Linked DNA regions of Cricetulus griseus. The protein of the gene in region 2 interacts with the protein of the main gene of each other region in a pairwise test. Links are inferred from orthologs where the notes say so. Each region holds a gene or a part of one and is shown on either strand. Other genes may lie near its edges. The genes, in order: Rad23a, Usp25, Rad23b, Syk and Tnks2.

Region 1 (3,557 bases), on a different chromosome or scaffold from region 2:
CCAGGGGGCTCATTCAACATCTGGATGAACTGCTCCTGGTGTCGGCTAATTTGCTGTGAGAAGAACGAGAAAGATGACAATCCACAGTCCTTGACAAATATGCCCAGGTCCCATTACAGCCCTTGCATACACATCAAATTGTCAAACACTCTGAAGGTGCCTGCTCTGGCCAAACAGCCATGTAGCTATAGAAAGAAACTGTCAAGGTGGGGCTAAGATGCCAAGCTGGGAATACGGGTTTGGTGACACATGCCTTAAATTCCAGCACTTGGGAGGCAGAGGCAGGTGGATCAGAGTTTAAGGCCAGCTTGGTCTACAGAGGAGTTTCAAGCTAGCCAGGGCTACATGGTGTCTCAATTAAATGTCTCAATAAAACAAACAAACAAAGAAGTAAATAAATATACCAAACCTAGGCATGGCAGTTCATTCCTTTAATCCCAGCACTCAGGAGGCTGAAGCTGGAGGATCACCATGAGTTTGAAACCATATAGTTCAGCCTAACCTATATAGTGAGACTGAAGAAAAACAAAAAGTTCAAATCAAATAATTGCAGATATGCTAGTTAAATCACTGAGGCCTTGTGGGAGGGACCCACTGTCTGGGGCAGGAAGAGGGGGGCTTGCCTCTGGCTAAAACAAGTACCAAGTGAAAATGCCCAGGGGTGGGAGAGCTCAGTGGCACGAACAGCACAGAAAGTCTGGGAAGACCTTTCTCCTGTGGCAGTGGGAAGCCACAGTGGCAAACAAGGCAGTGCTGCTTGGGTCCTTCTCTTTGTGGTGTTGCAAGTAAACCCAGGTCTCAACCTGCTAAGCACAAGCACTCCCTACTGAGTAACACTCAGCCTGTGCAACCTTTATCTTTTTTCTTTCTTTTTTGAAATGATTTCACTATTAGAAGGAGCTGTCTTCAAGTTCAGTGATCCTCCTGCCTCAGTCACCTAAGTGCTGTGCTTACAGGTATGCACTGTCACACTCGGCTCTAGAATCTATTAAATACACTCTACTTGGAAATCCAGAGATTCTGAAGCAACCGTTTGTTTCTGCAGACTTCTGACTATTTTCACATTAAAAAGGGCCTTTTCAGCAATCTAGCCTCTTGGTGGGCAGTTCACCAGGGGCACTGTGCAGAATTAGGAGACATGAGAGGAGGGTGCCAGGATACTGGGAGGGAGAAGTAGCTGCCATAGGGGTAGAAACAGAGAAACAGTCCCCACAAGGCTACCAGAGGCTCAGTGCAGAAATACAACTAGAATCAAACGGGCCTAAGAACTCATCGGTCCAGGAAGTCCTCTCATAGCTCAGATGAGAGGGTTCCAAGGGTTCTGGTGACACAGGTTCAGATAGGTCACCATACAGAGGGTCAAAAGGTGAAGGTCAGATCAAGAAGGCCAGGACTGAGGAGCAGGAAGGGGAGCAAGCACTCAAAAATGCTGTGACCAGAGTCCAGGACCCAGACATACGGCAACCTGCTCTGGGCCTGACCTTCAGCAGGTGGATGTCAATAACATCCATACCTCATGAGAGTCCAACTACACATAACCTTGCCGTCATCAGGGAGCAAGGGGCTGGGCCTGTGCTAGTTCTGCTTTCTCAGAGCAAAGCTATGTCCCTGGGTGATCCCCTAAAGAACTAGAAAAGGTGTCTGTCTCAGTTCCCTCACCCTGGGCCGCACCTGCAAGAGCTGAGGGTTCTCCTGGCCCAGTTGCTGGAGCAGTGCAGGGAGCAAGGCTGGATTCTGCTGGATCACCTGCCGCATGTTCTGGAACTGGGGCTGGTCCCGCAGGAACTCCAGGGGGTTTTCCCCTGCTGGTGGCAGGAAGAGGTGTGGTGAGAGCCCTGCAGGGCTCCTGTGTCTACTGTAGATACCCACATGTGCAAATCCATCCTACTCACCTGCTTCCACGGCCGGCTGTTCTGGTACCTGGCTCTCCTGAACAGAACCATGTTCCGGCTCAGGACTCCCGGGAATTCCCTGTCAGGGATCCTGCTTTTTAGTTCTCTCCAACAGACCCACTTCCCCCTCCCAGTTGATCAGCCTGACAGGAGACAGGAAGGCCTCATGCCTGCCTTCCACACTCTCGTACAGCCTCTTTGAGAAGCCTTCAGTGGCAACACGTGATACCCATGAGCCTATGGGGTAGGTTCCACCTCCATTGCCTGTTGAGGCACCAAGATCTGGAGACTCCCTCACCGTGAGCAAGTATTCCACAGCTCTGTGGGGGTTGTTGTAGCTGGCCCTCAATGCGGCCACAACCCGCTCCCGCTCGTAGCCCATGGACATGATCTCAGTCAGCATCGTCTCATACTCAGAGCCAGTCACTGTGGAGGGAGCAGCAGGGCCTGGGTCACCAGGGGCACAGAAGGGCTGCTCCCAGACCCTCCCATACCCAGACAAGGCTGTCAAAGGCGGATGGCTGGGGCTCCCAGTCGCCTCTGCCCTGAGGACCACCCACCCACCTAATGTGGAAGCTGCGTCTTCCTCTCGCCCGCTGCTACCTGAAGAGGGAACAGAGCTGCAAATTCAAGAGAGAGAAATCGGACCCTGGCTTCTGGTGGCTTGCCCTCCCCACAAGTGCATGGGACCACACTGGAAAGTGCAGAGGACAGGGCACAGGTAAGGCTACTGCCCCTTCCTTACCCAGAGATGGATTCTGGAGATGTTGCAGTAGCTGATTCCTCTGATGGGCTCTTGTCCTCTCTGCTGGCAGGTGGAGGATGGGACATGCCTGATGTTGGAGCCGGAGGAAAGGGTGTGGAGGACTCTGGGGCAGCAGTGGGTGAGACCTCTGGGGGTGCTGGGGTACTTTGGCCAGCCTTGGCCTGTGGCAGCAAGAAAAAGGGATCAGGCAGCAGCATCCCTATCAAGCCTCAACATCCTGCCCCATCACAGCCCCACCCTGCCTATGGCTAATCTCTCCTGGGCACACAAGCCCTTTGCCAGCATCCCAGCTAATCTACCCACCTTGGTCACCATTACAACCACAAAGTTCTTCTCATCTATATGGTATTCCTTGATGGGGACATCATCATTCAAGATCTTGCCAGCATAGATGAGTTTCTGTCCAGCCACAGGGAAAGCATCTCTACCCTTCTCAGCCTCTATCTTCTCCTTCAGCACCTTCACCTGGAATAAGGAGTACAGGCATTAAAAACACGGCTTTAATAGTGTGATGTGTATGTTTACACATAGCACTAACACTCTAAGATACCCTCAGTGAAGTCTAGGCATGGTTGTGCACACATTGAATCCCAGTACTTTGGAACGACAAGTGGATCACTTTGAATTCCAGGCTAGCCAGGACTATATAGTGAAACTGTCTCAGATAAAATAAAGACACCTTTCCTGACCCTTTTACCTTAGGGGAAAAGCTTTGCTCTCAATCATAAGAGACTCCTACTCAATGTGGCCAGTCGACAGCAATCTATTACAGGCCAGACACTTATGCTGCTCGTTGTGTGTGTATGTGCGTGTGATTGTGGTGGCCTAATTGTTCTACAAGAGCTCCATCCCAAACCCTGTTTTACAACAGCCTGTGGAACAGAACAAAACAGAATTCA
Region 2 (5,557 bases):
ATCATTTAAACTGAAGAGGATATTTTTGCTTCTACATATCCTCATGCTACATTAAAATAAAAATAAATAAATGCTTGCTTGGCTCCACTGAGCACTCAGATCTGAAGGAGTGTCTCATGTGCACACACAGCTTAAAGCTTTACAAGAAGACTTAAGAGACATTTAATGGGTTGCCCAAGGTCACAGAAGGGTGAGTTAGACCTAGCCCACATCCTGTCTTTCTCTTCCACTGCTTCTTTTCCTAGCCTGGATGCTCTTTCAAGCTTTCATTGTTTCTCAGTGACTGCATGTCAGTTCTTTCTTGGGAGGCTAAGTATTCACTGTGCTCGCTTCCCTTCTAAGAACCATTCACTTACAAATCCATTTGTCAAACATTTACTGAGCCCTACTGCGTGCAGGAACAAGTCCAAGCCCTATTGAGCAACAGTGCAGGCGACTCACTCACCAGGATACTTTCAAGTAAGGGGAATCCTGCTCACCTGGAAGCACCTTTTTTACTGGGAGGAGGTTCCCAGTCCTCCTCCCCTAAGGAACCTGTGTGTGGAACTTGAATTTATGTATCTAATTTCTTCTGCCATCTAAAGATCCTCCTCGGAGGTTACTATCCAACACAAGGGCTGACCAGACAGGTCCAAAAAGAAATAACAGCAGGTTCAACTGGACTCCATGTGCTGCCAAATGCTCACCTCTAATGTATCAATCTCAGAAAATCTACTCCCACTGCACTTTTCAAACATTTCCAAACTCCCTAGCTTGGGCAAACTTCAGCAATTAAGCAGACAACACAAAAAGGGAAGACAAGGCCCCTTGCCTCTTCCTATTGCATTGTCACGAGTTACTTAGTAGGTAAACAAAACACTTAAAGTTTTGTGGGTGGTAGCTTTAAAAAAAAATCTTAACAGTTCTTTACAGTAAAAGAGGAAAAAAACACAGACAACAATTGCAACAACTCTAATAGCCACTTCCTTAAAATGTGTCAACAGACCAGCATACTCTTTAGAAGAGAAAACGGGTTAAAATTCTGTCAGCACGGCAGTATGCTCCAAACATCCTTCCTTTTCTTGACAGTCCATGAAGCTACTAAGTGAAATCGGTTTCACTTTTGTTTCTTCTTACATTTGAAGTTCATGTCCTACTTCCTAGAGTGACGTATACTTCCTAGTTCCTAGCATAGTTTTAAGACTTCAACTTTGAACTAGATTATTTCAAGTATTTATAACCATATTGTTTGAACCAGTTCTAGTGGTGATAACAAAGTAACGGTGTATTAACAAGGGAAAGAAACACATTTAGAAATCTACAGACATAGTACAGTTGGTACAGTTCTTGACTAGCAGACATGAGACCCTGGGTTCAATCACCAACACCATTAAATGTAAATATGATGGATGTATAAAACAATATGATGTTGCTCTAAAAACAGTCCCCAATGTCAATGAAATAATCTAACCTACTTAATATGTGTTGCAAAAAACAAAAAAAAAAAAAAAACACAGCATTATAACATGAATATATTGAACTAGAGAATATTCTCTTTGGGAATAACCAAGATCACTTCCAGCAATTTGATTCTTGATTCGACAGTTTTATGTACAGAGTTCTGACCCATCAAGATAGTTACCTGACTCTGTGAAAAGAAGCAGCTTAGTCAAAACAATGACAAAAGCCAGAAACAATAAATTCATTGTCATTTTAAAGTTTAAGAGAAGCTAGGAATAGCAACATTTCCCAATTTAAAATTTAAAAAGAAATTCCAAATGCAAAACAAATATAAATAAAACGATACTGAGTCTATTGCCTAGTATTCCTGAGATCACATGACCTTCCAGTCATAACTCCAGCACATACTCAAGATCAAAATCTAAAAATTATAGTGTTCAAGATAGGACATACAGGATTAGAAGGCAAACTCTTTCATCCATTATTGTCTTGACTTGTCTTGCCACAAAGTACATTACAGTCTGCAATAATCTCAATTTACAAGTAACGTCAACTAAAACAGGCTTCAAAGGCAACTTTAGCAGAAGTGCCTGAAACAACAAAGCACTATCGCTGCTTTCCAAAATTCTCCAACATCTTTATTATCTCAGGTAATATAAAATCTAAAACTATTCTCCGTGCAAAAGAAAAGAGCAGGCTGTTTGTACATATTTGTCTATTTTAATACAGCCGGCCTTACTTTAAAGACAGGCACAGGTAGGCTGCAAGTATGGTGAGTCAAAACTACAGCAGGGTGTGGCATCCATTACTCACACAGATGAGCCAAAGGCGGCTTTGGCTGTTCACTGTAAACCTAATTGCCCCTACAATTCGAATACGACTAAGCCAATGTTTCCCTTGTGCTCAAACTGCTCTCTTCACAGCACTAAGGGGGGGGGGCGGTGAGAGGCAGAACAAGTCATGACCAACTACTCTTCCGGGCGCGGAGCAGGCTATGATGGAGCATTTAAAATTCTTCAAGCAAAATCTAGAATAGCAAGTTGCTATTCTGAAAGCAAGATGTGACGATCCCCCTAAGTAAGTGTCTAGCTGATTCGAGAGAAAAGGGTGAACGCACGGGAGCAAGGTCAAACTTAGGGGACAAAAGATTTCAATAACAGCCATGAAGGTCTCCTGTCCTGAGAGAGAGTTTCAATATTCAGGAGAAAAAAGAAAGAAACAAAAGAGTAATAACCAACCAAACCTTTCTACTTGTATAGAGTCCACCCTGGGTCGATGCACCTGACCCGGCAGGTAACTCGGTGTGGGGGATTTTTTCTTTTTTCTTTCTTTCTTGAGACCAGCAGGCCTGGAATAACACCACTTCCGAAAGAGAAACTGTCCAGAGCGGGTGACAAGTGACATTCTTGAGGAAGAAAGGGGAATGGGAAAGGAAGCGAAGGGGGGAAAAGTTTAATTACAAAGCCTGGCAGCGCACTGAAGGAATGTGGGGGGTCACTCTGGGGACGCGGCCGCCGTCGGTTATGGGCGAGCAATCTGCAGAAGGGAGTGGGCACGGGAAGCCTCTCGCTACACACCCCGCTCCGCACGCAGCCCCGCGGGACCGGGACCGGGACCGGGACCGAGCACGACGCCCCGGGATGGCCGAGCCGGGCGGGGAGGCCACGCGGCCCGTCGAGGAGGAGGAGCGGCGGCTCACCTTCTGCGCCGTGCTCTGCTGCAGCACATTCTGCTCCACGGTCATGGCCCCCGCGGCGATCCCGCCTGCCGTGCTCTGCCGGGCCGGGGGCAGCGGCGCGGACAGCCCCGGAGGACGGCGTCCCCGCCAGCCGGGCGCGAAGGCGATGGCGGTGGCGGCGGCGGCGAGACGCCGCCGGAGAGCGCCACCGCGGCCGCCTCAGGTCCTCCGCGGCCCCTCCTCAGCGCCGCTCGCCGCGCGGCCCGGCCCATGGGCGCAGGCGAGGGAAAGCGCGAGCGAGCGAGCGAGCGGGAGCAAGCGGGGCCGCGTCACGCGTTCGCGCTCGGCTTCGCCTGAGGGCTCCGGGGACCACTGCGGGCCGCTGGCGAGCGGACGGAGGGAGCGGCCGGCCAGAATGGCGCTGTCCTCCAGCCGCCGCGACTCCGCCTCCCGCCCGCCCCTGCCGCCGTCACCGCCCCGCCCGCCCGCCGGCCCCACCCCCACGCGGCCCCGCCCCACCCGTCCTAACCCTACATTGTGACCTGCGGGGGCTGAGGGTGGGGCCCCGACGCTGCCCCGCCCACTAGAGGGCCCCGCCTGCCGCCTAGGCCCCGCCCACCGCACGGGCCGGCCTCCGGAACCGCCCATCCATCCAGCAGGTGACTGGCTTTCCCTGAGCTCTAACGCGCTGACCCCCAAGGCTGAGTTGGTTTACCTGCTCGCCCTCTGTCACAATGTTTCCAAAATAAACAATGTCCCTCCCTGCCTCTAAGGTCCCCAAACCCGGCTGGGCCCAGAACTCCAGCTACTTCCTATGTCACCCACGCCTTTCGAGGAATTTCACAAGCAATGAACTTGCTGGAAGAGAAAAAAAGAAAAAGAAAAAAAAGTCAAATAAGCAGAGGGCTGTTAGAAGTTCTGGGTTGTCTCCTTAGCTAATCGTTACATACATCAGTATTGACATTCCGTGTCTATTCCATGTCCTGGAATGTGTGCCAGTCACTGCTAGGCTCTGGGGATTTAAGGTTTATTTACTGAAGAGAATATAAATGGACATAAGGCAAACAACATTATGAAAGAATCACTGCCTAGATGGTGCATAATTCTACTATTCCTGTTGCCAAATTAAACAAACGATTAACAACCATGTGTGGAGTATTCTACTGTAAACGGTACTGTAAGAAAAGCCTAACAACGAGAAAGCAATCTGAAGACAATAAAATGTCTTCAACTGCACCCGCTAACCGAGGGACAGAAGTGAGGGTGCGGACCAGAGACATTGTATTGGTGGCAAAAACAATAACACAATACACATACAAATCGGGATATAATTTAATCCATGGCAAGGAAAGCAAGCTTGGTAAAGGATCCATGAAATACCAGATTTTGTACAATCATAGTAACTGGAAAAGGCCTTGTAATAACTCTTTTTCCTTTTACCCATGTTTTCTGTCTTTTGGGTGTCTTCAACCTTCTTTTGTGATATTTTTCCCTTGACTCCTTTTGTTTGTTACATTAGGTTGATAAATTATATTTTTACTTCATTAATGATCCAACACCCTTGCTAGAATATAAAAGTTGTGAAATGGTTAGAAGCAAAGAATTTTAGGGATAATGCAACAATTCCACAAATGGATTATCTCTGAGGGTGTTGAGACCCAGAGAGCGTGGGTCTGTCTGAGAATAAACTTGAGCTATGCTGCTTCTCCACAGTTGGGGACCACAGTTCGGCTTCTCTTCGTTTGCAGAGCAGCTTCATGGTTCTCTATAGAATAGACAGCCTTAGAAAATCCTTCCATTTGAAATTATGGATGTAACTGAGACTAAAGATACATCTCAACCCTAGAGAGCACGGAAGCACAAGGCTCTATGTTTGACCTTTAGTATGGCTATACCAAAAAAAGTTAGAATTAATGTTAAACTATTAAAGTGTTTTTTAGAACTATTGACAGATGTTATACTTTAATTTCAAGACTTTGGCAGTACAATGACCCTCAGAGTTCCATTCTTTTGCATTAGTTTTTAAAATCCCTAGTGCTAAATAGATGAAAAGTTTGAGGACCCATTTGCAGCATTCATATCCAGCTCATTTCTAAAGGTTTCTTACTCCATGTTTTCTTTTTTAGCACATTGTCAACTGTCTAACTATGTGGTTTTGAGGTAAAAATTTCAGGTTAATGCATATGTTTCTTTTTAGAAAGCTTGCAGTTGTAAAAAATGGAGAACAGAAACTTGAGAATTAAGATAAATTAATATAAAAACTTATAATGAGGACTGACTCATCTTCAAACTTTGTGTACCTGACAGTTGCACAAATTCTAATTGGTCTTAATAATTAAAAAAAAAAAAACTGAGTCAGATATAGTCAGGTAAATTCGGAAAGATCAGAGAAGCAGAGCAGCTAACCACTAGTTCTTAGTTCTACCAAATCCTTAGGAC
Region 3 (4,757 bases), on a different chromosome or scaffold from region 2:
TAAATGGAGAGAATGCAAACTTAAAAAATTACTCCACTCACAGGAGGCTCAGAGGTTAAGGCACTGGCTGCTCTTAGAGATGGTCCTGAAGTTCAATACCCAGCACCCACATGGTGGCTCACAACCATCTGTAATGAGATCTGGTACCCTTTTCTGGCCTGCAGGCATATATGCATTCAGAACATTATACACAATAAATAAATCTTAAAAGAAAAAAGAAAAAAAGAAAAAGAAAAACTCCAGCCAGGTGGTGGTGGCCCACAGCTTAAATCCCAGCACTTGGGAGGCAGAGGCAGAAGGATCTCTGTGAGTTCGAGACCAAGCCTGGTCTACAAGAGCCAGTTCCAGGACACCCTCCAAAGCCACAGAGAAACCCTGTCTTGACCCACACCCCAGGAAAAGAGAACTCCACTCAAAACAAAACAAAACAAAAATCCTACTGAGGGCCCCTGTTTATGTATAATTTATTTTCCACACTAGCAGACCATTCTGTATACAAAACTGAAATACTTCCTGGTCTGAGCATGAAATATGTCCATAGGTAGATTTTCTAAAAGGTAGTATATCTCACTAGTAGTAAGCCTATGAAAAGTGATTTACAAAAGCTAAACACCCTGCCAGCTTCTCTAATATGTTATTGTGTCTCAGGAACCTGAAAGAAGAAATAAAAACATTTCCCAAATTTAGTTGAGCAAATTAAACTTGATTCAACCTATATTCCAACTTGTTCTTCAGTGCCTATCTAAAACATAGGCTCTGGGTTTAACCATAGTACAACAACATTCCAACTCCTTTTCCAAGTTAACATGGATCATTACCTGCAGCAACTGAGGATTCTCCCGACCTATCTGCTGTAGCAAAGCTGGAAGCAGGGAAGGATTCTGCTGGATAATTTGTCGCATCTGTTGAAACTGAGGCTGATTCCGTAAAAATTCAAGGGGGTGGCCTGAAATAGATGCAAACATTTTAAAGCAAAAAATGGTAAATACATATAACAAAGAGGTAGTGAAGCCACACATTCAGACAGAAAACACTTCTGTTCTCTGGCACAGTCACAAACTCTATAAACCCCAATGTGCTACTTTACTCTGTAGAAGTTATACTGGTAGCAAAGGCAGAACACTGAGAGATAAACTTATCCACAATGCCCTGTGAACTATTACAGAAAACATAAGAAACTGGTGTTCTACTTCAAAACAAAAGGTTATGTTATTGTAGTTGCTCACAAGAAGCATACATACATGCATGTGTGTGTATGTATTTATGTATGTATGTGTTACATGAGTATTTATTTCTGCATTATGTGTAATATTAAAGTGAGACTTAGAGATTAAGCTACCTAGTAGGTGATGGTTGGAAATACTAAAATCTGAGCTAGAGCTGTGCCTCCTCTTTCCACTATAAAACACAGACCCCCCAACTGACTGCCAAAATGAGAGCAAGAAATTATCAAAACACAGCCTTTTCAAAATTAGCAGTCTATCTACTAAGGTTTTGGTGGCTTTAAAATTGTACTATCTCTTCCCTTTTCCTTTTGAGACAGGGAATCTCTATGTACCCCAGTTCTCCAGGAACTCTACTGTGTAGACTAAGTTCCCTCAAACTCAGAGATCTGCCTGCCTCCTGGTGCTAGGATTAAAGGCTTGCACCACACACACTGCCTAAAATTATGCATTCTTAGAAAAGTGAGCTGTCCATTCAAAATGAATACTGAGTTCAAACTATGAAACATTTTTTCTTAGTATCAGCTAGTGGAGTAAGCTGACAACACAGTAACACTGATGTGCACTACCATACTACTATGAGGGAAGACACAACGCAAGACTTATCCAAACGCTCTGGGAATGAATGTTACCACTCGAGTACTTCAAATTAAACGAATTTAGATTCACCATCAGAAATAGTAACTTTACCTCCAGCACTACTTGTTGTTGTTGCTGTTGTGGTGGCTGCAGCTGCTGCCACTGCTGGAGACTGAGGAGTTCCAGTACTCACTGCCTGGGGAGGAGGATCAACCACAGCCTGACTTTCTCTATCTCCAGGGATTCCCTGCAACACAATTTTCAAGCTTTAAGACAACTCAAAAACACACAGGCTAAATATTATACACAGCAAAAACAGTTGTGGCTTACAGAACATCACTGTCTATGTGTGAGATACATGTAGAACTCAATGCTGTATGTAGTGTAAGGCAGTACTGTTCAACAGGTCTTTCCACGGTGATAGATGTACTGTGCAATAACAACCACATCCATGTCTAATTAAACCCTACAAATTTAACTAAGATATTCACTCATCATGGGGTTCCAAATGGCTTTTGACTGCAGGGACTTTCATAAATCATCAGTCAGTGACACAAAGAGCTGTATTTATAACATTAGGAGCATTTGGGATAAGAGGACAACAGTTCTGAATGACTCTTTGTGGTAGGGTGTGGAGTTGAATGAGTGAATACTGCTGGCCAAGCAAGAAAGTCTCATCTACTGACTCATGTTTCTGAGCAAATATCATCTAGAAAGTGCCACACAGAAAATCTTTCAAAATTAACAAAATGGGCATGAAATATATTTCAATCATTTAAATTCCAAATGATGCTTTTTGTATGTTTCAATAATTTCTCTTGAAATTATTACAGTTTAGCCTGGCATTGGTGGCGCACTCCCAGCACTCGGGAGGCAGAAGCAGATGGATCTTGGTGAGTTCGAGGCCAGCCTGGTCTTGAGTGTCAGGATAGGCTCCAAAAGCTACACAGAGAAACCCTGTCTCGAGAAAAAAAAAAAAAAAAAAAAAGAAGAAATTATTACAGTTTAAAAGTGCCCTCAGAGTTTCTATTTTGATGTACAACATTTAGACAAATGGCAGTTATACCTATTTAGAAATCCACCAAATTCTCAGACTTTAAGAGATGGTGATAAGTCCATTTCCTACTAAACACGAGGCAGACTCGCTTTAGGAAAGACAGGCAGTGAGCAGTGACTAATGGTGCACATACACTGCAGGCCCTGAAAGCGTCTGCTTGTGATGCGGAGGTCCCTGAAGGCTAAGCCTTCCATCAAATTCTCAAACAAAATGCTAATGCTGCTTCCTCACAGAGGACAACTAAAATTTTGCTCTAAATAATTCCTAATAGATTATATGAGCAACTAAAATCCACTATAAAGTCAGACTATTCCATTAGAAAGACACCCTAGGGCTCCAGAGCTTCACTGTGTGTAAGCCACTATTCTAAAGAACCACTTTGTAACTCACCGTCATGGCATTTTCTTTTCTTTTCTTTCTTTTTTTTTTTTTTTTGGTTTTTCGAGACAGGGTTTCTCTGTGTAGCTTTGGTGCCTATCCTGGCACTCCTCTGGAGACCAGGCTGGTCTCGACCAACGCCCGGCCCATCATGGCATTTTCTAATTAAAATCATTTCAGAATCTTTTCCAAAAGGTTACAGTTTATCAACACAAAATGTTAACCCTGGGGGGCGCAAACTATCTAGCATATAGTAGTCAACACTGAACTGTTAACTCATCTTTTAAAACCAAAATTTCTTGAAAGAGTTTGAAATTAAGGAGAATGAAAAGTAAAATACACTTCTCACCATTAGAAGATATTCCACAGCTCTGTCAGGGTTGTTGAAACTGGCTCTCAGGGCTGCAATTACTTGCTCTCGTTCATAGCCCATTGACATGATCTCAGTTACCATATTCTCGTAAGATTGACCTGTCACTAAATAGGTGTGTTGGGGATAAGGAATAAGTACATGAACATTCAAGAAACATTCTCTCCATACTTCTTGACTATAAGATATCTATGTTTCATATACTACCGTGTCAACATTTATTCAAGTAGGCAGAATGCCCTCCCCCAAAAATACTCATGTTCTAATCCCCAGCGAGATCCTGTAATATATAGATTATGTGACAAAGGGAAGTGGGCCTGATGCCATCAAAAACAATCCTTAAAAACAGAGTGACAGAAAGAGGGTTACAAAAGGAGGAATGTAACTTTGTTGTTGTCTCTCTCTCTGCAGATGGAGAAAGGGTCTGCAAGCTTCTGGAATCTGGAAGTGATAAGGAACTAGGTTCTCCTAATCTCCAAAAAGTCTTATGGACTCCTTGGTATCAGTCAACAAGAACAGTGTCAAAAGCTCTGACCTACAAAAATAGCCAGGTAACAAATTGGTTTATATCACTAAGTTTGTGGTAACTTAAAAAAGCAACAAAAAATAAGGTGGTTTTATAAGCACAGTAGAAATATCAGGTACAAATACAAAAATTCACAAGTCACAGAAGGCAACCTGTTAATGAGAGACAAACAAATGGGTTGTTCTTGCAATCTCACTGTTTGGAAGGCTTCTCTGAGTTTAATGTCAGCCTTCCTACTGAAGTTCAATGGCATTATGGGATGATAAATTCTCTCTCACAAAAACCAAAAGGCAAGTCCTTTTTTTATGCATTTCAAACAATTCTGGTGTAATAGCACTGTGTTTTATTTTTTCTTTTGACACTTTATATTTTCAAACTGATGAGAAACAAAGGTAAGCAAGATAGAATTTCACACCCCAGGATGGAGTTACTTGTATTGTGAGTCACTGGTCACAGGCTATCATCAATCTTCCCAGATGGATGTTATCTTGCCTTAATGAAAGCTACACCCTCTCTAGACTCACCTCTATTAAAACTATCCTCTTTTCCACTTGTGTTCTGGATACCACTGCCTTCCTGACCACCTCATGAAGTGGATTTGGTTACAGTCTCCCTTCTCCACCC
Region 4 (5,278 bases), on a different chromosome or scaffold from region 2:
GGTTGATACAAATCTTTTGACTTATATCTTGAAGCCAAGATATTTTAAAAATAGGTTGGTTTAATCTAGCAGCTTTCGTAATCAAATGTCTCTCAGTAGTGTTAGTATTTGCTCACTAACTTTCAAAAAATCTAAAGACAAGCTGCACGGTGGTTGTGCACACCTTTAATCCCAACACTCAGGAGGCAGAAGCAGGTGGATCTCTGTGAGTTGGAGTTCAGCCTGTTATACAGAGCGAGTTTCAGGACAGGCTCCAAAGCTACACAAAGAAACCCTGTTTTGTTAAAAAAAAAAAAATCTAAAGACAACACAATAAATAAAACCAACTCTCTCTTGGTTTTCCTGGTGATGGTACTGGCAGGAGCCACATTTATCACGCCAACTCTGGCAAGTGTCTGGGTCCGTGCAGCCACTGAGTGGTAGCAGGACCTCTGCAAAGAGCCACATCGTTTTTGCCACTAACACTGAGTCAGGAAGCTGTCTCTTAAAGGAGCCGCACCTCTACTCCCACCAGCAAACAGAGCCCACCTAAGAAAATGCTGCTACCAAGAAGCCCTGCTTGACTGTTCTTTCGTGTGTTTAGAATCCTTTTTTTTTAAAGCTTTCTTGAGTTTTATGTGCAACTTTGTGCCAAACATTTGTCCACCATATGTAAATGGACATTTTTCTCCTGCCTGCCTGTTTGCAAATACCCAGTGTTCGATTCCCAAATAATTGACCTGGAGGCTTAATTACTTATAAATGTTCAGCCAATAGAAACGTCTGACTGCAAAAGCCTGTGCTCTGAGGTGTGATTCTCCTGTTTGGCTGTATGGGCTTGGGGTGTGGCTCAGTTGTAGAGTATTTCCCAGCATGTATGAAGCCCTTGGTTACACCCCAGCCTAACATAAACTAGGTGTGGTTTTCATGCCTCTGATCTCACACTGGGGAAGTAGAGGCAGGAGGATCAGAAGTTGAAGGTTATCCTTAGCTGCCTAATGAGTTCAAGGTCAGCAAAGGCAATATAAGAACCAAGAGCTAGATAGGTAGGTAGGTAGATAGATCAATATCATCTGTCTTTATTTTTAGTGTGATCTGTGCCTCCTGAGGCCATCGAGGGCTTTGAGTCCTTGCTGGTTCTGTCCCATGGACCACTGTTCACATTCAGGGTGTGCCCTGAGCACTGTGTCAAAAGACTACTGTGCACTTCTCTTTTTCTAGGTGTCTTAGTTTTTTAGTTTGTTTGTTTGCTTGTTTTTGTTTTGGTTTTGGTTTTGGTTTTTTGGTCCATTATCATCAATGGTGGGGAGCATGGCGGTGTACAGGCAGACATGGTGCTGGAGCTGAGAGTGTACATCTTGCAGGCAACAGGAAGTCAACTGACTGTCACACTGAGGGAAGCTTGAGAAAAGAGATCTCAAAGTCTGCCCCCACAGTTACACCCTTCCTCCAACAAAACCACACCCACTCCAATAAGGGCAAACCTCCTAATAGTGCCACTCCCTTTGGGGACCATTTTCTTTCAAACCACCACACTGTGTTTCTTCTTAGAACTCTTTTTTTTTTTCACTAGAAAAAATAATAGTGAGTTGGGTCACCTTTGTCAAAGGCCATGGAGTTGGTTAACTAACCACAGGATGTTCTGGGAAACTGGAAATTAGATGTCAGGACCATGCACGAAATAGGGTGGTGTGTCCATTCTAAACTAGAAAGGCTTATGTCCCTGTGGAATAGGCCCTGGTGGGCTTAGTCAGTGCCCCTTGCTAGTTGGATTCCTCACTGGGGCTCACTCATCTTTGTTGTCCCCAGGTGCTTTCCCACATACCTGCTGGAATTCTGAAGAGGGGCAGACATGGCAGGCAATGCGGCAGACAGCGCCAACCACCTGCCCTACTTTTTTGGCAACATCACTAGGGAAGAGGCTGAAGACTACCTGGTCCAGGGAGGCATGACAGATGGGCTCTACCTGCTGCGCCAGAGTCGCAATTATCTGGGTGGTTTCGCTTTGTCAGTGGCATACAACAGGAAGGCGCACCACTACACCATTGAGAGGGAACTTAATGGTACCTATGCCATCTCCGGTGGCAGGACCCATGCCAGCCCGGCAGACCTCTGCCAGTACCACTCCCAGGAATCTGATGGCCTCATCTGCCTCCTCAAGAAGCCCTTCAACCGGCCTCCGGGGGTACAACCCAAGACTGGACCCTTTGAAGACCTGAAGGAGAACCTCATCAGGGAATACGTGAAACAGACCTGGAACCTTCAGGTGAGTCTGGTGGGCACTGCTCCCTGAGACCATGGAGCCCTGTCCTAGCATCACCCAGAATCCTTTGCATCCTTTACAGGAAGACTGAGACAGCATGGTGGTTGAGTTTCTGGTATGTTCCAGATCCCTGTGTGGCCACGCCCCTCACTGCCTTTGTTTCCCACTCCATCTGAGCATGTAGTCAGAGCCCAGTCTTCACATTCCCCTCAGCAGTCCATTTTCCTTCTGTGAGAAGGCTGTGTTTTCAAATATATATATATGTGTGTGTGTGTGTGTGTGTGTGTGTGTGTGTGTGTGTGTGTGTAGTCAGTAATCAAACTCTGGCTATTCATTACCAAGAAGATCTTTTTCAGTCTCTCTGAGAAAGATAGGGAAATCAGTCCTCTCTACTATTAATGGTACTGTTTTTATTTCCACCTTTTCTCCAGGTGGTCCAGGCTGCTCACCTGTGACTCCTCTGATGGCATTTCCTGTAGGTGTGTGTGTTTGGGGCGGGGGGGAAGATGGGAGTGAGGACACAGCTGAATCCTGACAGACAGAAAGCCACAGATGCCTGCCTCTAACACAACTTTTTTTTTTTTGTTTTTGTTTTTGTTTTTTTGGGACAGGGTTTCTCTGTGTAGCTTTGGAGCCTATCTTGGCACTCACTCTGGAGACCAGGCTGGCCTCGAACTCACAGAGATCCGCCTGCCTCTGCCTCCCGAGTGCTGGGATTAAAGGCGTGTGCCACCAATGACAGCCACAATTTCTTTGAAAAGTTTTCTTTGGTTAGAGTCAGTCTCTCTTCCACCATGTGAGTCCCAGGAATGAGGCTGAAATGGGCAGCGAGCACTTAGCCTGCTGAGCTACCTCTCTTCCTCGAACTCAAACACATCTCAAGCCTTCTTGCCCATTATGAAATGACTCTAGGTTTTCCCACAGAACCTAGCTTTCGTATATAGCTGTCTTTGTCAGATCCATGCTCTGACTCCAGGTGTATATGACCTACATATGCAAATTCTTGTCTGGCTTTTCAAGGAATCTTCCCTTCATTACAAAATGCATTCATTTATTGATACACGTGAAGACATGCAAGTAATATACAAAGATCTTATTGGTTCCCTTATTTTAGGGAATGAATAAAAGAAGGATGAGTGATGGGAAGAGTGTGATGGGAAGAGTAGAGTTTGGTCCTGTTTTGCTGCATAGAACTTGGGACACAGATCTAACTTCTCTGTACCTGGCCAGCTCACTCTCTCTCCATCCTCTGCAGGGCCAAGCTCTGGAACAAGCCATCATCAGCCAGAAGCCCCAACTGGAGAAGCTGATTGCCACCACTGCCCACGAGAAGATGCCCTGGTTCCATGGCAACATCTCCAGAGACGAATCAGAGCAGACAGTCCTCATAGGATCAAAGACCAATGGGAAATTCCTGTGAGTATCGTGTCTTCCCCCTACTTCCTAACTTCAGGGCTGCTCACCTAGGGGTAGCAGCTTCCCCAAGAATAGAACCCAGGTGGCCCCAGGAAGGTGTCACACATCCCCATTTGCCAATGAGAGTTGGTGTCACTTGTGACCCAGCATGTGTTTTATCTAGTCTGAGCATAAAGTGTGATGATGTGTTCAGCCACATGAGGGTTGAGTTTGTTATCCAACGTGGTGGGCCCAGAAGTGCTTTGGGTTGGGGATATTTTCAGATACAGGAATATTTGCACATATGTAAAGATATGTCACGAGCTCTTGCCCAAGCCTGCACTAGAAATTCCTTGACCTTTTAGAAACACTTTATGCTTATGATATCTAGGCAATTTCTTGTGTGTGTAGGATAGCATGCTCACATATGTAAAAGTGTGTGAAGTGTATACACATGCGTGTGGAGGTCAGAGGTGGACACTGGTGCCTTATCAGTTGCTTTCCACCTTATTCATCCGAGTATCTCGTTCTCATTTATTATCATGTCTGTTCATGTTGGTGGGGGAGTGCATAGATGCCGAAGTGCAACCTCCATGGAGGGCAGTTCTTTCTTTCACCTTTACATGGTTCTAAGCATTAAACCCAGGTCATCGGGCTTGGGCGCAGCCATCTTTACCCAATGAGTTAGCTTGCTGGCTCTTCCTTCCCAGTTTTGAGAAACAGTCTCTCCCTGAACCTGGAGCCTGCTGCTTTGTCTATAGTGACTTGCCTGCAGCCCCCAGGGTTCCTCTGGTCTGTGCCGAGATTACAGGCACTCACTGCAACACCCAGATTTTTACATGGGTTCTTGGGATCAGTTTGGGACATCGTGTGTTATAAACACTTCACCAACTGACCATCGTCCCAGGCCCCTAGCTAGCGTCAAGGTAATTTTTCCCACAGTATTTTAGTGTTTCTGGAGTAGGGTTGCTCAGCCTGAATTCTGCTTCACATGGCAGACATGGTGTACAATGTGGTCACGGAACAAATGTAAGACAGCACAGTTTGTTCGCTTCGATCTGCCCCCAGATTTTGGACTTCTGTTTGTGCTTGGAACTGTGTGCTAACGCAGACATTCAGGAGCAAAGTCCTGGGAGCTGCTTACACCAAACCTGGGCATAGATATCTGAGCAGAAATGGGTCTGTGGGCTTCAGCCTGTACAGCTCAGCTCATGAAGGCTAGGATCCTGGGTTCCTGGCCTGGGCATCTGCAGTGGCCCTGTGTGAGCCAAAATTCAGAAGGTCCCAGGGCAGTGGTACAGCTAGGCAGGGTCTGTAGTCCACAGAAGCAAGGGGTATCCTGGTGAGTGTAAGCCTCTTCTAAAGATGTGCCTGCCAAGGTTGTGCTGGGAGAATGCCTGCATTTGTGGTCACTCAGTGTCCCTACACAGAGGCCTTCAGGGTTTTGAAGAGCCACCCACATTCTATCCAGTAAAACTTTCCCAGAATCAATGAGGTTTCTTCATGGTCAGGCACATTGATCAGCACCAGGCTAATCTTCCTAGAAGTTCAGGTTTTTTTCTCTGCATTTGTATCTCGCTCAAGAATTGTCCTCTTACTTCTGATATTAAAGAATTATCTTAGGAGCTGAAGAGATGATTC
Region 5 (4,757 bases), on a different chromosome or scaffold from region 2:
AGAGACACCTGTCTCAAACAAACCAAAAAACCAAAAATTTAAAAAAAAAAAAAAAAAAAAAAAAAAGGAAAGATGCAGCTAGGTATATTGGTGCACTCCTTAAAACCCAGCACCTGGGAGTTAGAGGCAGGTGAGTTTTTATGAGTTCAAGGCCAGCCTGGTCCTCAAAAGTGTATTTCCAGAAAGGTAGCCAAGGCTGCATAGTTGAGATCCTGTTTTTAAAAAACAGAAAAATACCTCAGCACTCAGGAGGTACAGGCAGGTGGTTCTCTGTGAGTTCAAGGCCAGCTTGGTCTCCAGAATGAGTTCTAGGACAGCCAGGGCTGTTACACAGAGAAACTGTGTCTCCAAAAAAGGAAAAATGCAACTATGCAATGTGTGACAATTCAGTCAATGATGGGCTACATTTTTGGCAGTGGTTCCATAAAATTATAATGTAAGGACTATGGATATAATATCTCAGTTGGTAGAACCTGGCTAGCGTTTACAAGGCCCTGGGATTTATTCCCAGCACCACATGGACAGACTTAGTAGTACATACTTACATTCTAATTATGTAGGAAGAAAGAGGCAGGAAGATCAGTGGTCAAGGCCAGCTTCAACTACAGAATAAGTTTCAGAAGACCAGCCTGTGTGCTGCATAAGACTATCTAAAATGATAATTATATAGCTGAAAACTTACTATAGTTTTTCTGTTCTTTGATGCATACTTACGAATGTGTTATAGCTGCCTATGGTATTTAAACAGTAATGACAATCAGGTGAGTTAATATGAGATTATTTTCTTTGCTCTGGTTATTTTCTCAATGACAAAATACCCACTAATATCCCCCGCCTTTTTTTTTCCCTCATGCCTAGCATGGTGCAGACCCTACAAAGAAAAACCGAGATGGTAATACTCCTCTGGACCTTGTTAAAGATGGAGACACAGATATCCAAGATCTACTTAGAGGTGATGCAGCTTTGCTAGATGCTGCCAAGAAGGGTTGTTTAGCCAGAGTGAAGAAATTGTCTTCTCCTGATAATGTAAATTGCCGTGATACCCAAGGTCGACATTCTACACCTTTACATTTGGCAGGTAATGAGTGAATCTAGATTTAGCCTGGTGACATCTAAGATTATTTTATCCCTTTCATCATGTAGGTTCCAGGAATCAAACTCAGGTTGTTAGGCTTGGCATCTGTGCCTTTCCCTGCTGAGCTATCTTACCAGCCCTAAGATTCATTTTTACTCTTGAGTAAAATATTTCCTCTAAGTAAACTTGAAAGATGCAAGTCAAATTATCTACCAGAGCTTTCATCCTGTCCTAGTATGTGTGTTTGTACAGAGCCATTGTGTTTATACATGAAGCTGTTGCCAAATTTCACTTCCTTTGTCACTGTTTTACATTCAGTAAAAACAGTTGCCAACTCTGGTGGTGCAAGCTTTTAATTCCTGCAGAAGCAAGCAGGCAGATCTGTGTGAGTTTGAGGCCAGCCTGGTCTACATAGTGAGTTCCAGGACAGCCACAGCTACATAGTGAGACCAGTAAGAACAGTTGAAATAGGCTCTGCCAATCACTTTAAACTTTGGAATCCTTTCTTTGAGGTCACTGCATTGATTCATGTTTGAACAGAGTTATGAAAAACTTGCCTGTATAAACCAGCCTTCTTCATAGAAGACTATAAAGTTTTCATTTTCTAATGAAAGCTAAGTGTAAGCCCGGGAAAAAGAATCAATGTCTTCCCCTTATAGGTTCTGGGGATCAAATTTAGATGATCAGGCCTGTCAGCAAGTGAAGTGCACCAGCTCCCCAGTAATGACCCAAAGACTCACTAATTAATTCTGAAAGCTAGGCCTTACTTGAGGCTTGTTCCCAACTAGCTCTCATAACTTAACTAACCATTTATGTTGCTCTGCAGTCTTGTTACCTCTCCTCCATGCTGTGTTTCGTTCCCATCCCTGCTTCACATCCCCAGCACCTCCCGCTTACCAGTCTCTGCCTGAGTTCCTGTCTCTGCCCAGAAGTCCTGCCTAGCTATTGGCCATTCAGCAGGTGTGCCTTGACAGAGAAACATCTTCACAGCGTACAAAAAGATTATTTTACAACATGGGTGTTTTGCCTGCGTGGATGTCTGTGTACCACATGTGTGCCGGATACCTGGTGGAGGTCAGGGCATTGGATCCCCTAGAACTGCAGTTAGTTACAAATGCTTACGAGCTGCCTTGTGGATGCTGGGAACCAAATCTAGGTCCTTTGCAAGAACAAGTGCTCTTAACTGCTGAACCATTTCTCCAGCTCTTATCTAGAACATTTGACATTACTAGTTTTTTTTTTTTAAGATTATTTTATGTATATGAGTTCTCTATCAACTTTATGCCAAAAGAGGACATCAAATCCCACTATAGATGGTTGTGAGCCACCAAGTTGTTGCTAAGAATTGAACTCAGGACCTCTGGAAGAGGAACCAGTGCTATTAACAGCTGAGCTATCTCTCTAGTCCTTGACATTACTATTTTAAGTCCACATTGTCTTCGTAAGTTGCAAATACAAATAGATTGGTTTTTGTTTTTTTGTTGTTTATGTTTTTTGTTTCTTTGTTTTTTTTTTTTTTTTTTTTTTTTTTTTGAGACAGGGTTACTCTGTGTACCCTGGCTGTCTTGGAACTATCTCTGTAGGCCAGGCTAGCCTCAAACTCAGAACCCACCAGCTTCTGCCTCCTGAGTGCTGGGATTTAAAGTGTATGCCACCACTGCCTGTTGTTGCAAATACATTTTAAGCACAGAATGTGTCTACTCACTTCTAATAGTGTTAATACTAAACCTTGGGCTGTGAAGAAACTCTGTCATGAAATGTTTGCCATGCAAGCATGGGAACTTGAGTTCACACTCCTGCACTGAGGGGCAAAGATAGAGCATCTCTGCCTCTTGATGGCTACCTGACTAGCTGAATGAGTGGGCTCCATTCTCAGTGAGAGACTGTGCCTCAAATAGTCAAGTGGAGGATCTGTGAGGTGCCTCAGTGGGTAAAGGCATTTATCAGAGAAGCCTGACAAACTGAATTCCATGTCTGGGACCCACAAAGTAAAAGGGAGAGAGTCAACTCCCTCAAGTTTTCTGACCTGTGATGTATACTATAAGTATGCACAGACAATGAGTAATATATGGGGGGGGTGTGCTTGTTTTTTGTTGTTGTTGTGGGGTTTTTTTGTTTTTTGTTTTTAAAGATTTTATTTATTATGTATACAACATTCTGCTTCATGTACATCTACACACCAGAAGAGGACACCAGATCTTATAACGTATGGCTGTGAGCCACCATGTGGTTGCTGGGAATTGAACTCAGGACCTCTGGAAGAGCAGTCAGTGCTCTTAACCTCTGAGCCATCTCTCCAGCCCTGTTGTTGTTGTTTTTAAGTAGAAAACTGCTGGGCCTGGCGAGGCAGGCCTTTAATCACAGTGCTTGGGAGGCAAAAGGAGATGGATCTCTGAGTTGCAGGACAGCCTGATCTAAAGAGTTCTGGAAGACCACATAGAGAAGCCATGTCTTAGGCGACAGATGCAGAGAGCAATAGGGGAAAATACTGTATTTACCTCTGGCGTCTACCTTCACCCATGTATATACACAAATACTACACCTATGACATTCTTAATGCTTTAAATCTTTCTAAGGGATGGCTGATATGTGCACTGATAGACAAAACATTTAAAGCCATTATCATTGTTTTTATATTGGGAAAAATGACATTTACTTCATCTATGATTATGTGTCTAGAGATACTTTGCCATAAGAGAATTCTGAGCTAACTGATAAGATACAGGTTATGTCGTGCTTCAGAGTACTAAATGAGCTTTCTTAATAGTTCTGAGGTTGCTCTACTATATGTGTCCTAAGCACTCTCCTTAGGCTGAGGCATTTCTACAGACTCCTGAGGAAGAATGCCTCCTGTTGTGCAGCTAGATGATTGGGTGCCTGTGAATTTTAGCCCTTGGGATCACACGCCTGAGCTTAGGTTGTTGTATGTAACAGCCATGAAGGTAGGGCCTTTGGTGGGGAAGAAACTGCTCATGGAAGCTGTAGTGTGGCCATTTGAGACACACAGTTTACCCTTTAGTCCATTCATCTTTCCTTGCAAGTGTTCATTGCCACGAGTCATTGGTCTGGTTTAAGGCCTCTGGTTTCTGACTCACCACCCATAATGGGCTCTCTTTGGGCTCCTCTTGGATATTTTGTTGTTGTCCTGTGTCCTAGAGATCCTGCTGTTTTGGAGGTAGGGGAGTTTTAAATGGATAGAGGAAAATCTTTCTATAATTTGCTGGGTCTCCAAAACCAAAAGCTTCTAAAATTTTAGACCAATTGGGTATTTCTTTCCCACAAGACAAAATACTAATCATTTCAGATTTACATAAAATTTAGAAATATCTATTTAAAAACATATAGCTATATGGGTAACACATGATTTTTCTACATTTATAACTGAAAGCAATGTTACTTCTTTCCTGCATTAGCTGGTTACAATAATTTGGAAGTCGCAGAGTACTTATTGCAACATGGAGCTGATGTGAATGCCCAAGACAAAGGAGGACTCATCCCTTTACATAACGCAGCATCATACGGGGTAAGTTCTTCTCAGTTTCCTTTCCAAATTCATGCAGCTTTTCAAAGTGGGTATCAGTGTCACAGTTCACATGGAATCTGCTGTGACTTGTTTCACAAAGAACTAAATAAGAAGTTAGATAACAGAAGTTTTAGTTCTTAATCTGTTACAGGCATGCTG

The links.
Region 1: the proteins of Usp25 (region 2) and Rad23a interact in binary tests that used the Homo sapiens proteins (3 or more experiments, as listed by UniProt). The link is inferred for Cricetulus griseus from reciprocal best matches to the Homo sapiens genes USP25 and RAD23A.
Region 3: the proteins of Usp25 (region 2) and Rad23b interact in binary tests that used the Homo sapiens proteins (3 or more experiments, as listed by UniProt). The link is inferred for Cricetulus griseus from reciprocal best matches to the Homo sapiens genes USP25 and RAD23B.
Region 4: the proteins of Usp25 (region 2) and Syk interact in binary tests that used the Homo sapiens proteins (3 or more experiments, as listed by UniProt). The link is inferred for Cricetulus griseus from reciprocal best matches to the Homo sapiens genes USP25 and SYK.
Region 5: the proteins of Usp25 (region 2) and Tnks2 interact in a two-hybrid assay, tested with the Homo sapiens proteins (2 studies listed by BioGRID and IntAct). The link is inferred for Cricetulus griseus from reciprocal best matches to the Homo sapiens genes USP25 and TNKS2.

Annotation. Positions count from the first base shown.
Region 1 is NC_048596.1:159,533,267-159,536,823, reverse strand, and holds part of Rad23a (UV excision repair protein RAD23 homolog A), read right to left. Parts: intron 3,124-3,557; coding exon 2,962-3,123; intron 2,820-2,961; coding exon 2,638-2,819; intron 2,513-2,637; coding exon 2,457-2,512; intron 2,319-2,456; coding exon 2,191-2,318; intron 1,972-2,190; coding exon 1,893-1,971; intron 1,806-1,892; coding exon 1,672-1,805; intron 54-1,671; coding exon 1-53. UniProt on the Homo sapiens protein: Multiubiquitin chain receptor involved in modulation of proteasomal degradation. Binds to 'Lys-48'-linked polyubiquitin chains in a length-dependent manner and with a lower affinity to 'Lys-63'-linked polyubiquitin chains.
Region 2 is NC_048597.1:18,265,004-18,270,560, forward strand, and holds the start of Usp25 (ubiquitin carboxyl-terminal hydrolase 25), read right to left. Parts: upstream 3,299-5,557; 5' UTR 3,185-3,298; coding exon 3,140-3,184; intron 1-3,139. UniProt on the Homo sapiens protein: Deubiquitinating enzyme that hydrolyzes ubiquitin moieties conjugated to substrates and thus, functions in various biological processes including inflammation and immune response.
Region 3 is NC_048595.1:88,474,827-88,479,583, forward strand, and holds part of Rad23b (UV excision repair protein RAD23 homolog B), read right to left. Parts: intron 3,715-4,757; coding exon 3,587-3,714; intron 2,050-3,586; coding exon 1,914-2,049; intron 947-1,913; coding exon 819-946; intron 1-818. UniProt on the Homo sapiens protein: Multiubiquitin chain receptor involved in modulation of proteasomal degradation. Binds to polyubiquitin chains.
Region 4 is NC_048596.1:271,533,646-271,538,923, forward strand, and holds the start of Syk (tyrosine-protein kinase SYK), read left to right. Parts: upstream 1-1,831; coding exon 1,832-2,245; intron 2,246-3,497; coding exon 3,498-3,658; intron 3,659-5,278. UniProt on the Homo sapiens protein: Non-receptor tyrosine kinase which mediates signal transduction downstream of a variety of transmembrane receptors including classical immunoreceptors like the B-cell receptor (BCR).
Region 5 is NC_048596.1:24,908,444-24,913,200, reverse strand, and holds part of Tnks2 (poly [ADP-ribose] polymerase tankyrase-2), read left to right. Parts: intron 1-858; coding exon 859-1,078; intron 1,079-4,488; coding exon 4,489-4,598; intron 4,599-4,757. UniProt on the Homo sapiens protein: Poly-ADP-ribosyltransferase involved in various processes such as Wnt signaling pathway, telomere length and vesicle trafficking.